Caenorhabditis elegans: one gene and its partner. The main gene of each other region encodes a partner of the protein of the gene in region 2 in a complex. Each region holds a gene or a part of one and is shown on either strand. Other genes may lie near its edges. A codon is read from its position in the direction of its gene.

Region 1 (4,576 bases), on a different chromosome or scaffold from region 2:
TATAGGAAATCTTCACATGATTTGCTCACAGTGCATGCACACAAAAAGTTATAAGATCTGAAGAGAGACGCAGACAGATTATTCAAACAGCAAGGGCTCCCACCACCGGAGAGGATCTGCGGATTCCGCCGTAATTTTACACTATCCGTCGGGGGCCGGACACTACTACACTGCCCTTTCCGCTGAACAGACGTTTCTATTCGTTTTTCATCGATTTTTGCATAAAGTTCGGGTTTAGTGGGTTTAGTAAACCTAAGAATTTCTAGGTTTTTTATGAATTTTAGGTCCTTTTTTTGAATTTATATAATTTATTTTAATGTAAATACTATGAAATTTTTATTTTGATTTTTTCCGAAAAAAAAATATCAAAAATTCCAGAAATATTTCAGCCGACCCATAGCCGCCGGGTATAGCACTAGAGCCTCACGGCAGTACATATTTATTTAGAAACTCTAGTATTCCACGTGAAAAAATATATTTAAATATACCAGAAATTTTGAAGGAGTTGACGACTACAGTACTCCTTAAAGGCACACGTTTTTCTGATTTCAAGAAAATTTATCGGTTCGTGCCGTAGTTTTTGAGAAATCCGAGTGCCGTAGTTTTTGAGAAAAAATTTTCCTTGTGGTTGCCCATATAATTATTTTCATGACGAAAATCTGAAACGATGTTTTATGGGTCTGCTAAATATTTATCATACCCAACTTTGGTCTGCTAAATATTTAGCATACCCAACTTTGGTCTGCTAAATATTTAGCATACCCAACTTTGGTCTGCTAAATATTTAGCAGACCCATTTGGGATATTGAGTTTATCCTGAAATGATGATTTCCTTTGTTTAAATCCACTCAAATTCCGTTTTTTCTCTGAAATCCTCTAATCCCCTGAAAAAAACCTAAAAATATATTTTTTTTACTATATAAATTCGGATTTTTCCAGAAACCCCACATATTTTCGACTTTTCCCGAACTTTTCCCACTCGTTATCTCTATTTCTCTTCTATTCCCTAGGATATCTCTCCCGCCTGGGAGCTTTTCGAAAGCTCCAGAGCACCTGGGCGGAGCTCCCGCGGCAACTGGATTTTTTACCGTTATTCTTCATTCATTTTTCCAGGACATTAACAAATTTTCTTGCAGTGAAAATTTTTATTTCAAAAAAAAAGAAAAGAAAGTCAATTTTAGGATGTTATACATCTCCAAAATTCGTTAGTTTTAGCTTTAAAATCAAAGTTTTCATAAAAATTAAATTTGAAATCCCTCCAAAAAATAGTCTGCGCTTCACACTCTCTAACACGTGCCGGTGGAGCGCGCTTGCATTTTTCCTTTTTTGTTAATTTTTTTTTGCGGGAAACTTTTCGGGAAAATTACTCTAAAACTCAATAAAAACAGCTTTTAAGTGCATTTTTCTTGAAAATTAGTTTCAAAAATGATATTTTAATCAGTTTTACACCATTTTTGTCGATTTTTCCTCTTTTATCCGTCGAATTAATAGTATCTCCTGACAAAAATAATGATTTTATAGTTTTTTTTTTTTGGTTTTCAGCAATGGTTGCTCGAGTACAGACTGCGGAGGAGATCCGCGACGAGGGAAATGCTGCAGTTAAGGATCAGGATTATATAAAAGCTGATGAATTGTTGGTTTTTCTGAAATTTCAGTGGAAAACTGAAATTAAACTGATTTCCAGATACACTGAAGCTCTCCAACTCACCACTGACGAAGACAAGGCTCTTCGGCCGGTTTTGTACAGAAATCGAGCAATGGCTCGGCTGAAAAGAGACGATTTTGAAGGAGCACAATCGGATTGCACGAAAGGTTTACAAAAAACCTGGAAAATTTGCTGAAAAACCTAAATTTACAGCTCTGGAATTCGACGGGGCCGATGTAAAAGCTCTCTTCAGACGATCGCTGGCTCGTGAACAGCTTGGAAATGTTGGGCCAGCTTTTCAAGACGCAAAAGAGGCTCTGAGGCTCTCGCCAAATGATAAGTGCGTGGAAAAACTAGGCGAAAACCGATGAAAATTAAAAGAAAAATAATTTTTTCTGGCACTTTCCAGTTATATTTCAAAGTTTTTATGACCAAATTTCAGTGAAAAATGCAAAAGTTGCAAATTTTGGGTCTGCTAAATATTTAGCAGACCCAACCTCCCGAAACTGATTTTTAAAGCTAAAAATTATTAGAATTTTCAGACGTTTCTCTCCGAAATATAGCATGCCAATAGAAAAATTGACAAAAATCAAGGTTTTCTCATCGAAAATAGCAAAATAACTTTTAAAAATCTACAGAAACTCACAATTTTTGTTTAAAATGCCAACATTTATAAATTTTCTAAATATTTAGTTTTAAATTTGTAATTTTCTCACTTTTTTCTGTGAAAAAATATGCAAAATGAAACTGAAAAATCCACTAAAACATGTTTAAAAATTTATCTTGAAGAAAAACGTAGGAAATTTCAAATTTGCAGCTAAAAAATCAGCGAAAAAATTTTTTTTTCAAAATTTGAGGAGGTTGGGTATGCTAAATATTTAGCAGACCCAAGGAAAAATATTTAGCAGACCAAAGATAGGTATGCTAAATACTTAGCAGACCAAAGATAGGTATGCTAAATATTTAGCAGACCAAAGAAGGGTATGCTAAATATTTAGCAGACCCAAGGTGGGTATGCTAAATATTTAGCAGACCCAAGGAAAAATATTTAGCAGACCAAAGATAGGTATGCTAAATATTTAGCAGACCAAAGATGGATATGCTAAATATTTAGCAGACCAAAGATGGGTATGCTAAATAATTAGCAGACCAAAGATGGGTATGCTAAATAATTAGCAGACCCAAAGAAAAATATTTAGCAGACCAAAGTTGGGTATGCTAAATAATTAGCAGACCAAAGTTGGGTATGCTAAATATTTAGCAGACCAAAGTTGGGTATGCTAAATATTTAGCAGACCAAAGATGGGTATGCTAAATAATTAGCAGACCAAAGTTGGGTATGCTAAATATTTAGCAGACCCAAGGAAAAATATTTAGCAGACCAAAGATGGGTATGCTAAATATTTAGCAGACCCAAGGAAAAATATTTAGCAGACCAAAGATAGGTATGCTAAACATTTAGCAGACCCAAGGAAAAATATTTAGCAGACCAAAGATAGGTATGCTAAATATTTAGCAGACCAAAGATGGATATGCTAAATATTTAGCAGACCAAAGATGGGTATGCTAAATAATTAGCAGACCCAAAGAAAAATATTTAGCAGACCAAAGATAGGTATGCTAAATATTTAGCAGACCAAAGATGGATATGCTAAATATTTAGCAGACCAAAGATGGGTATGCTAAATAATTAGCAGACCAAAGTTGGGTATGCTAAATATTTAGCAGACCCAAAGAAAAATATTTAGCAGACCAAAGATAGGTATGCTAAATATTTAGCAGACCAAAGATGGGTATGCTAAATATTTAGCAGACCAAAGTTGGGTATGCTAAATATTTAGCAGACCCAAGATTTTCTCACAATTCCACTTTTAAGCACTTAAAAATTCAATAATTTCACTCAAATTTCTATTTTTCAGAGGAATTGTTGAAGTTCTTCAGCGTCTCGTAAAAGCCAACAATGATAAGATTAAGCAGACCACTTCACTGGCTAATAAGGTTGGTTTTGTGACCTGAAACCACGAATTTTAAATGAATTTTCATTGAAAAACCCCGAAATTTTCTCAGGTAACTGACATGGAAAAGCTAGCGTTCCGTGGTGAGGCGAAGGACACCGAACAGAAAATGACTGCGTTGAACAACTTGTTGGTTTTGTGCAGAGAATCTGAATCCGGAGCAACAGGAGTTTGGAATCAGGTATAGTTTTGGAAGCTGGACGAAAAATCTACATTTACTGGGAAAATTTAATGGAACTTAAAAAAAAATTTAAAAAATGGAAATAAATTGAAAAATATACCGTATATTTGAAAAAAAAATGCAAAAAAAAACTGAATTTTCTAGATTTTCAGAGCAATTTTCAGATTGTTTTTCGAAAAATTTTGCAGTTTTTATCTAAATTTTTCCGATATTCCTTAAATTTAATTGTCGAAAGTTCAATTTTAATTTTTTTAAAGAAATTTTTTTAAACTGAAAATTGTAATTTTTTGTAGATTTTTAAAATTTATTTTGCTACAACGAGAAAACCTTAATTTTTGCCAATTTTCCGATTTTGTAGAAACATTTGAAAATTCAACTTTTTAGCTTTTAAAAAATCAGTTTAAAAAAAATTATTTTTCAAAATTTTAATTTTATCAAAGTATCCCGAATTTGAATATTTTCCTGCAAAAATACCCAAAAAAAAAATTCTAATTTTTCCATATTTCCAGGGCGCACTTGTTCCATTCGTCCTGAACCTAATCAACGACGCATCGGAAAACGAGGAGGTTACCGTAACCGCAATCCGAATTCTCGACGAGACCATCAAAAATAGCGTCAGATGCATGAAATTCCTAGCTATGCACGACCCAGATGGCCCAAAATCCGTCCGTTTTGTGTGCCGGCTAATGTGCAAAAAATCCACAAAAGACTTTGTGGATGCCACTGGAATTCTGG
Region 2 (4,624 bases):
TGTAATTTCCTCGTTTTTCTCGGCATCTTGCTTCACACGCCACTCGGCTGCCAATGATTCTTTCTTTCTGAAACCAGACTTATTATTTTTTATTTATTTGTTCACCGGGATGATCTACACCCGCCAAAATTTGAAATGTCGTTGTTTTTTCTTCTAGAACTCACTTTCTCAAGAACTCCTCTCGTTCTTTATCAGGCAGGAAGCTTGTGTCGACAGTTGGGTCCATTCCAACGCGCTGCAAACATTTTTCGCTTTAATTTTTTCTTTTTAATTATTATTCTTACCTTTTTCGGGATAATTGGTGCAGCATCTTCTTCGTCCTCTTCGTCATCAAATGCAAACGATAAAAATCGCTTCTGAAATTAGCAATATTAAAACAGTTTTTCTCGAATGTTCTACAAAAATGTTTTATATCTGCGTTTCCTCACACTCTCACCTGCCCTCAATTTTTCTTTCTCGAAAGTTCTCAAATTTTTAGAAATCTGGTATAAAAGACTCTTTCGACGAGAAATCTCTAGTCAATTGAACTACAACTGCTACCCGAGTCTAGAGCCTACAACCAAATTTCTACAGCAATCCTTCACATTTACCTGGGTATGTTTTGCAACGTGTTCTTCTTTTTCTCGAGCTTCTTGTGAATCTTTAGATTGAGTAGAAGATGATTGGTCTCCCCGGGCCACTTGTAGATCTCTATAAGGTACACATTTTTATTGTGAGGCTCTCCAAAATGTAGAAAATCGAACCTGTTTGAAATTTCGTTTTTCTGAATATTTTTCATATCATCCAATGATACCAAGCCATAGGTTTTAGACTTCACGACTTCTTCGACTGTTTCATAGTTTGCCATGAATTTATTCGTAATTCCGACCCTGCCTGCAAAATTTGTAGTTTTAATAATTAAAAAGGGGTTTCACCATACATTTTTCTTTGTCTTCTTCAAGCTTTCGCAATTGTTGTTCGATATCTTCCTTTTCACGCTCACGTTTCTTTGCCAAATGAATCAAGCGGCCTTCGTCGGCGCGGGACATTTTATTAACTGCAAAAATAAAATAAAAACCAATGAAAGCAATATTTTTCAACGAGTTCAATATTGAGAGTGACATATAGTTTATTTCGGGATTTTATTTAATATAGAATAATAATTTTAGATTTTTTTTTGGTGCAAAAATACCAAAAAAACGTCTTTTCGACGAAGTAATCTGAAAAAAATGAAGAAAAAACAATTCAAACTAAAAACAAGAAAATGTTTGTGGCCTAGTTACCTATTCTGCAAAACTTCGGCCAGGTGCTGAAAACGCGCTCTATTGACAATTTTCGTCGAGAATTTTCCGCCGAAAAGGGCAATTTGAAAACCAACCAATCAAATTGAAAGGCCACGCCCTCCTTCGAGAACATTTCGCATCTTGTTCAAAATTTAGACCTTCAATTACGCCTCAGAGCTCTGATATTCCCAGTTCTTTCGGTTTTCGGGTGAAGATTTTTGGTTTTCCTCTCACTAATATGGCTTTTATGTTAATCACGGATCATTGTTTTTGATTTTTAAAGGTTTTTGAACAATAGTTTTAGGCCTAAAATTAGTTCATTTCTAGATAAGGTTATAATGTGTTTTTAGTTTCGAAATCATTCGCCATGCGTGCTCTTTCATTCATTGAATCGTTATAAAGTTCTATTCAGTTTTTGTTGCTCGATTGTTAATTGATATTTTTCCAGAACCATGTCCGAGAACGCCGAAACCTTCGCATTCCAGGCTGAGATTGCTCAGTTGATGAGCTTGATCATCAACACTTTCTACAGTAACAAGGAAATCTACTTGCGTGAATTGATCTCAAACGCCTCCGATGCTCTTGACAAGATTCGCTACCAGGTTTGTTTTTTCGCTTCTGAGTCAATTTTTTAAAATATCGGTTTTAGGCACTCACCGAGCCATCCGAGCTTGACACTGGAAAGGAATTGTTCATCAAAATTACTCCAAACAAGGAGGAAAAGACCCTTACCATTATGGATACCGGAATCGGAATGACCAAGGCCGATCTTGTCAACAACCTTGGAACCATTGCCAAGTCTGGAACCAAGGCCTTCATGGAGGCTCTTCAAGCTGGAGCTGATATTTCCATGATTGGTCAGTTCGGAGTCGGATTCTACTCTGCTTTCCTTGTCGCCGATAAGGTTGTCGTCACATCCAAGAACAACGATGATGACAGCTATCAATGGGAGTCTTCCGCAGGAGGTTCTTTCGTCGTTCGTCCATTCAATGACCCAGAGGTCACCCGTGGAACGAAGATTGTCATGCACATCAAGGAGGATCAGATTGACTTCCTCGAGGAGCGCAAGATCAAGGAGATCGTTAAGAAGCATTCTCAGTTCATCGGATACCCAATCAAGCTTGTGGTTGAGAAGGAGCGTGAGAAGGAGGTTGAAGATGAGGAGGCTGTCGAGGCTAAGGATGAGGAGAAGAAGGAGGGAGAGGTCGAGAACGTCGCTGACGACGCTGACAAGAAGAAGACCAAGAAAATCAAGGAGAAGTACTTCGAAGACGAAGAGCTTAACAAGACCAAGCCAATCTGGACCAGAAACCCAGACGATATCTCCAACGAAGAATATGCTGAGTTCTACAAGGTATTTTTAGTTTTAATTATTTTATGGCAATAATTCCATTAATTTCAGAGCTTGTCCAATGACTGGGAAGATCATCTTGCCGTCAAGCATTTCTCCGTTGAGGGACAACTTGAATTCCGTGCTCTTCTCTTCGTCCCACAAAGAGCTCCATTTGATCTCTTCGAGAACAAGAAGAGCAAGAACTCCATCAAGCTCTACGTTCGTCGTGTCTTCATCATGGAGAACTGCGAAGAGCTCATGCCAGAATACCTTAACTTCATCAAGGGAGTCGTCGATTCTGAGGATCTTCCACTTAACATCTCTCGTGAAATGCTCCAGCAATCCAAGATCTTGAAGGTCATCCGTAAGAATCTTGTCAAGAAGTGCATGGAGCTTATCGACGAGGTTGCCGAGGACAAAGACAACTTCAAGAAGTTCTACGAGCAATTCGGAAAGAATCTCAAGCTCGGAATCCACGAGGACTCTACTAACCGCAAGAAGCTTTCCGATTTCCTTCGCTACTCTACCTCCGCTGGAGATGAGCCAACTTCCCTCAAGGAATACGTTTCCCGCATGAAGGAGAACCAAACTCAAATCTACTACATCACCGGAGAGTCCAAGGATGTTGTTGCTGCTTCAGCTTTCGTCGAGCGTGTTAAGAGCCGCGGATTCGAAGTCCTCTACATGTGCGACCCAATTGATGAGTACTGCGTCCAACAACTCAAGGAGTATGATGGAAAGAAGCTTGTCTCCGTCACCAAGGAAGGACTCGAGCTCCCAGAAACCGAGGAGGAGAAGAAGAAGTTCGAAGAGGACAAGGTTGCCTACGAAAACCTTTGCAAGGTCATCAAGGACATTTTGGAGAAGAAGGTTGAGAAGGTTGGAGTTTCTAACCGTCTTGTCTCTTCCCCATGCTGCATTGTCACTTCCGAGTACGGATGGTCCGCTAACATGGAGCGCATCATGAAAGCTCAAGCTCTTCGTGATTCCTCTACTATGGGATACATGGCCGCCAAGAAGCATCTCGAAATCAACCCAGACCACGCTATCATGAAGTAAGTTACCCAAAAACTATTTTAAAATGAACATTCACAAACGTTTTTGCTATTTCAGGACACTTCGTGATCGTGTCGAGGTCGATAAGAATGACAAGACCGTTAAGGATTTGGTTGTTCTTCTTTTCGAGACTGCTCTTCTCGCTTCCGGATTCTCCCTTGAGGAGCCACAATCTCACGCTTCCCGCATCTACAGAATGATCAAGCTTGGTCTCGATATCGGAGATGACGAAATTGAAGATTCTGCTGTTCCATCATCGTGCACCGCTGAGGCCAAGATTGAGGGAGCTGAGGAGGATGCTTCCCGCATGGAGGAGGTCGACTAAACATCCTATTTAATTTATCATTTGTTACGAGAAGATCTCCCCAAAAGCCCCTCCACAGTTTTATTCATTGTTTTCCTGTCTATCGAACCCAAATAAAGTTCCGTAATTAATTTCATCAATGTTTTTTTTTGCAAACGTGAACTTTTGAAGAAGCACATTTGAACAGTTTAGATACTCGAGGGAAATTAAACAGTTTTAGTTTATACGAAACATGATTGCAATCTTATTCGAGTTGGCATGTTTCCTGATCTTGGCCAGTGCTGTTTGCTGCATCATTCCAGAACCGGTTTATACATGAGTTGGAGATGAGTTTAATATCTTTTCATGTTTCAGGAAAAGCCATTCAATCCACCTCCACGTCCAAATTTCAATTATAACCTCTGGGATCCTGTCAATGAAGATTTCGAAGGACGCAAGTTGGATGTTCGTTGGTGGAATCCGGAAGAAGAAGATGAAGATGAAATTGTTCCAATCCCACCAAACCTTGCTGTCTAATCTCTCATTTTATTTCTAAAAATAAAAATTTTTCGATAATCGTTTTATGAACATATGCTTATTCTCTTGAAAAATCCGCTTTCCGCGCACGCAAATCTGTTGATGCGTGCTCAAATTGACATCCGTTACCATGCCAACTCTTTCCAACTGCCC

Evidence for each region. The genes of interacting proteins can lie anywhere in the genome.
Region 1: the proteins of hsp-90 (region 2) and unc-45 are in contact, whole or in part, in a crystal structure (PDB 4I2Z), measured with the Caenorhabditis elegans proteins. Residues at the interface, in NP_506626.1 of Caenorhabditis elegans: Ser696 (codon at 3,953), Arg697 (codon at 3,956), Met698 (codon at 3,959), Glu699 (codon at 3,962), Glu700 (codon at 3,965), Val701 (codon at 3,968), Asp702 (codon at 3,971); in NP_497205.1 of Caenorhabditis elegans: Arg12 (codon at 1,578), Asn16 (codon at 1,590), Val19 (codon at 1,599), Tyr31 (codon at 1,686), Val48 (codon at 1,737), Arg51 (codon at 1,746), Asn52 (codon at 1,749), Met55 (codon at 1,758), Lys59 (codon at 1,770), Val81 (codon at 1,882), Lys82 (codon at 1,885), Phe85 (codon at 1,894), Arg86 (codon at 1,897), Asn113 (codon at 1,978), Asp114 (codon at 1,981), Ile117 (codon at 3,569).

The regions. Positions count from the first base shown.
Region 1 is NC_003281.10:490,005-494,580, forward strand, and holds the start of unc-45 (UNC-45/Cro1/She4 central domain-containing protein), read left to right. Parts: upstream 1-1,542; 5' UTR 1,543-1,544; coding exon 1,545-1,633; intron 1,634-1,684; coding exon 1,685-1,812; intron 1,813-1,858; coding exon 1,859-1,985; intron 1,986-2,402; exon of another isoform or gene 2,403-2,831; intron 2,832-3,564; coding exon 3,565-3,643; intron 3,644-3,712; coding exon 3,713-3,841; intron 3,842-4,350; coding exon 4,351-4,576.
Region 2 is NC_003283.11:14,684,450-14,689,073, forward strand, and holds hsp-90 (Heat shock protein 90), read left to right. Parts: upstream 1-1,710; 5' UTR 1,711-1,714; coding exon 1,715-1,864; intron 1,865-1,911; coding exon 1,912-2,616; intron 2,617-2,664; coding exon 2,665-3,650; intron 3,651-3,708; coding exon 3,709-3,976; 3' UTR 3,977-4,090; downstream 4,091-4,624. Other genes in the region: C47E8.4 (Protein FAM50 homolog), read right to left, coding at 1-67, 165-235, 285-356, 591-690, 744-873, 920-1,028; C47E8.11 (uncharacterized protein), read left to right, coding at 4,188-4,262, 4,310-4,471. UniProt on the Caenorhabditis elegans protein: Molecular chaperone that promotes the maturation, structural maintenance and proper regulation of specific target proteins involved for instance in cell cycle control and signal transduction. Undergoes a functional cycle that is linked to its ATPase activity.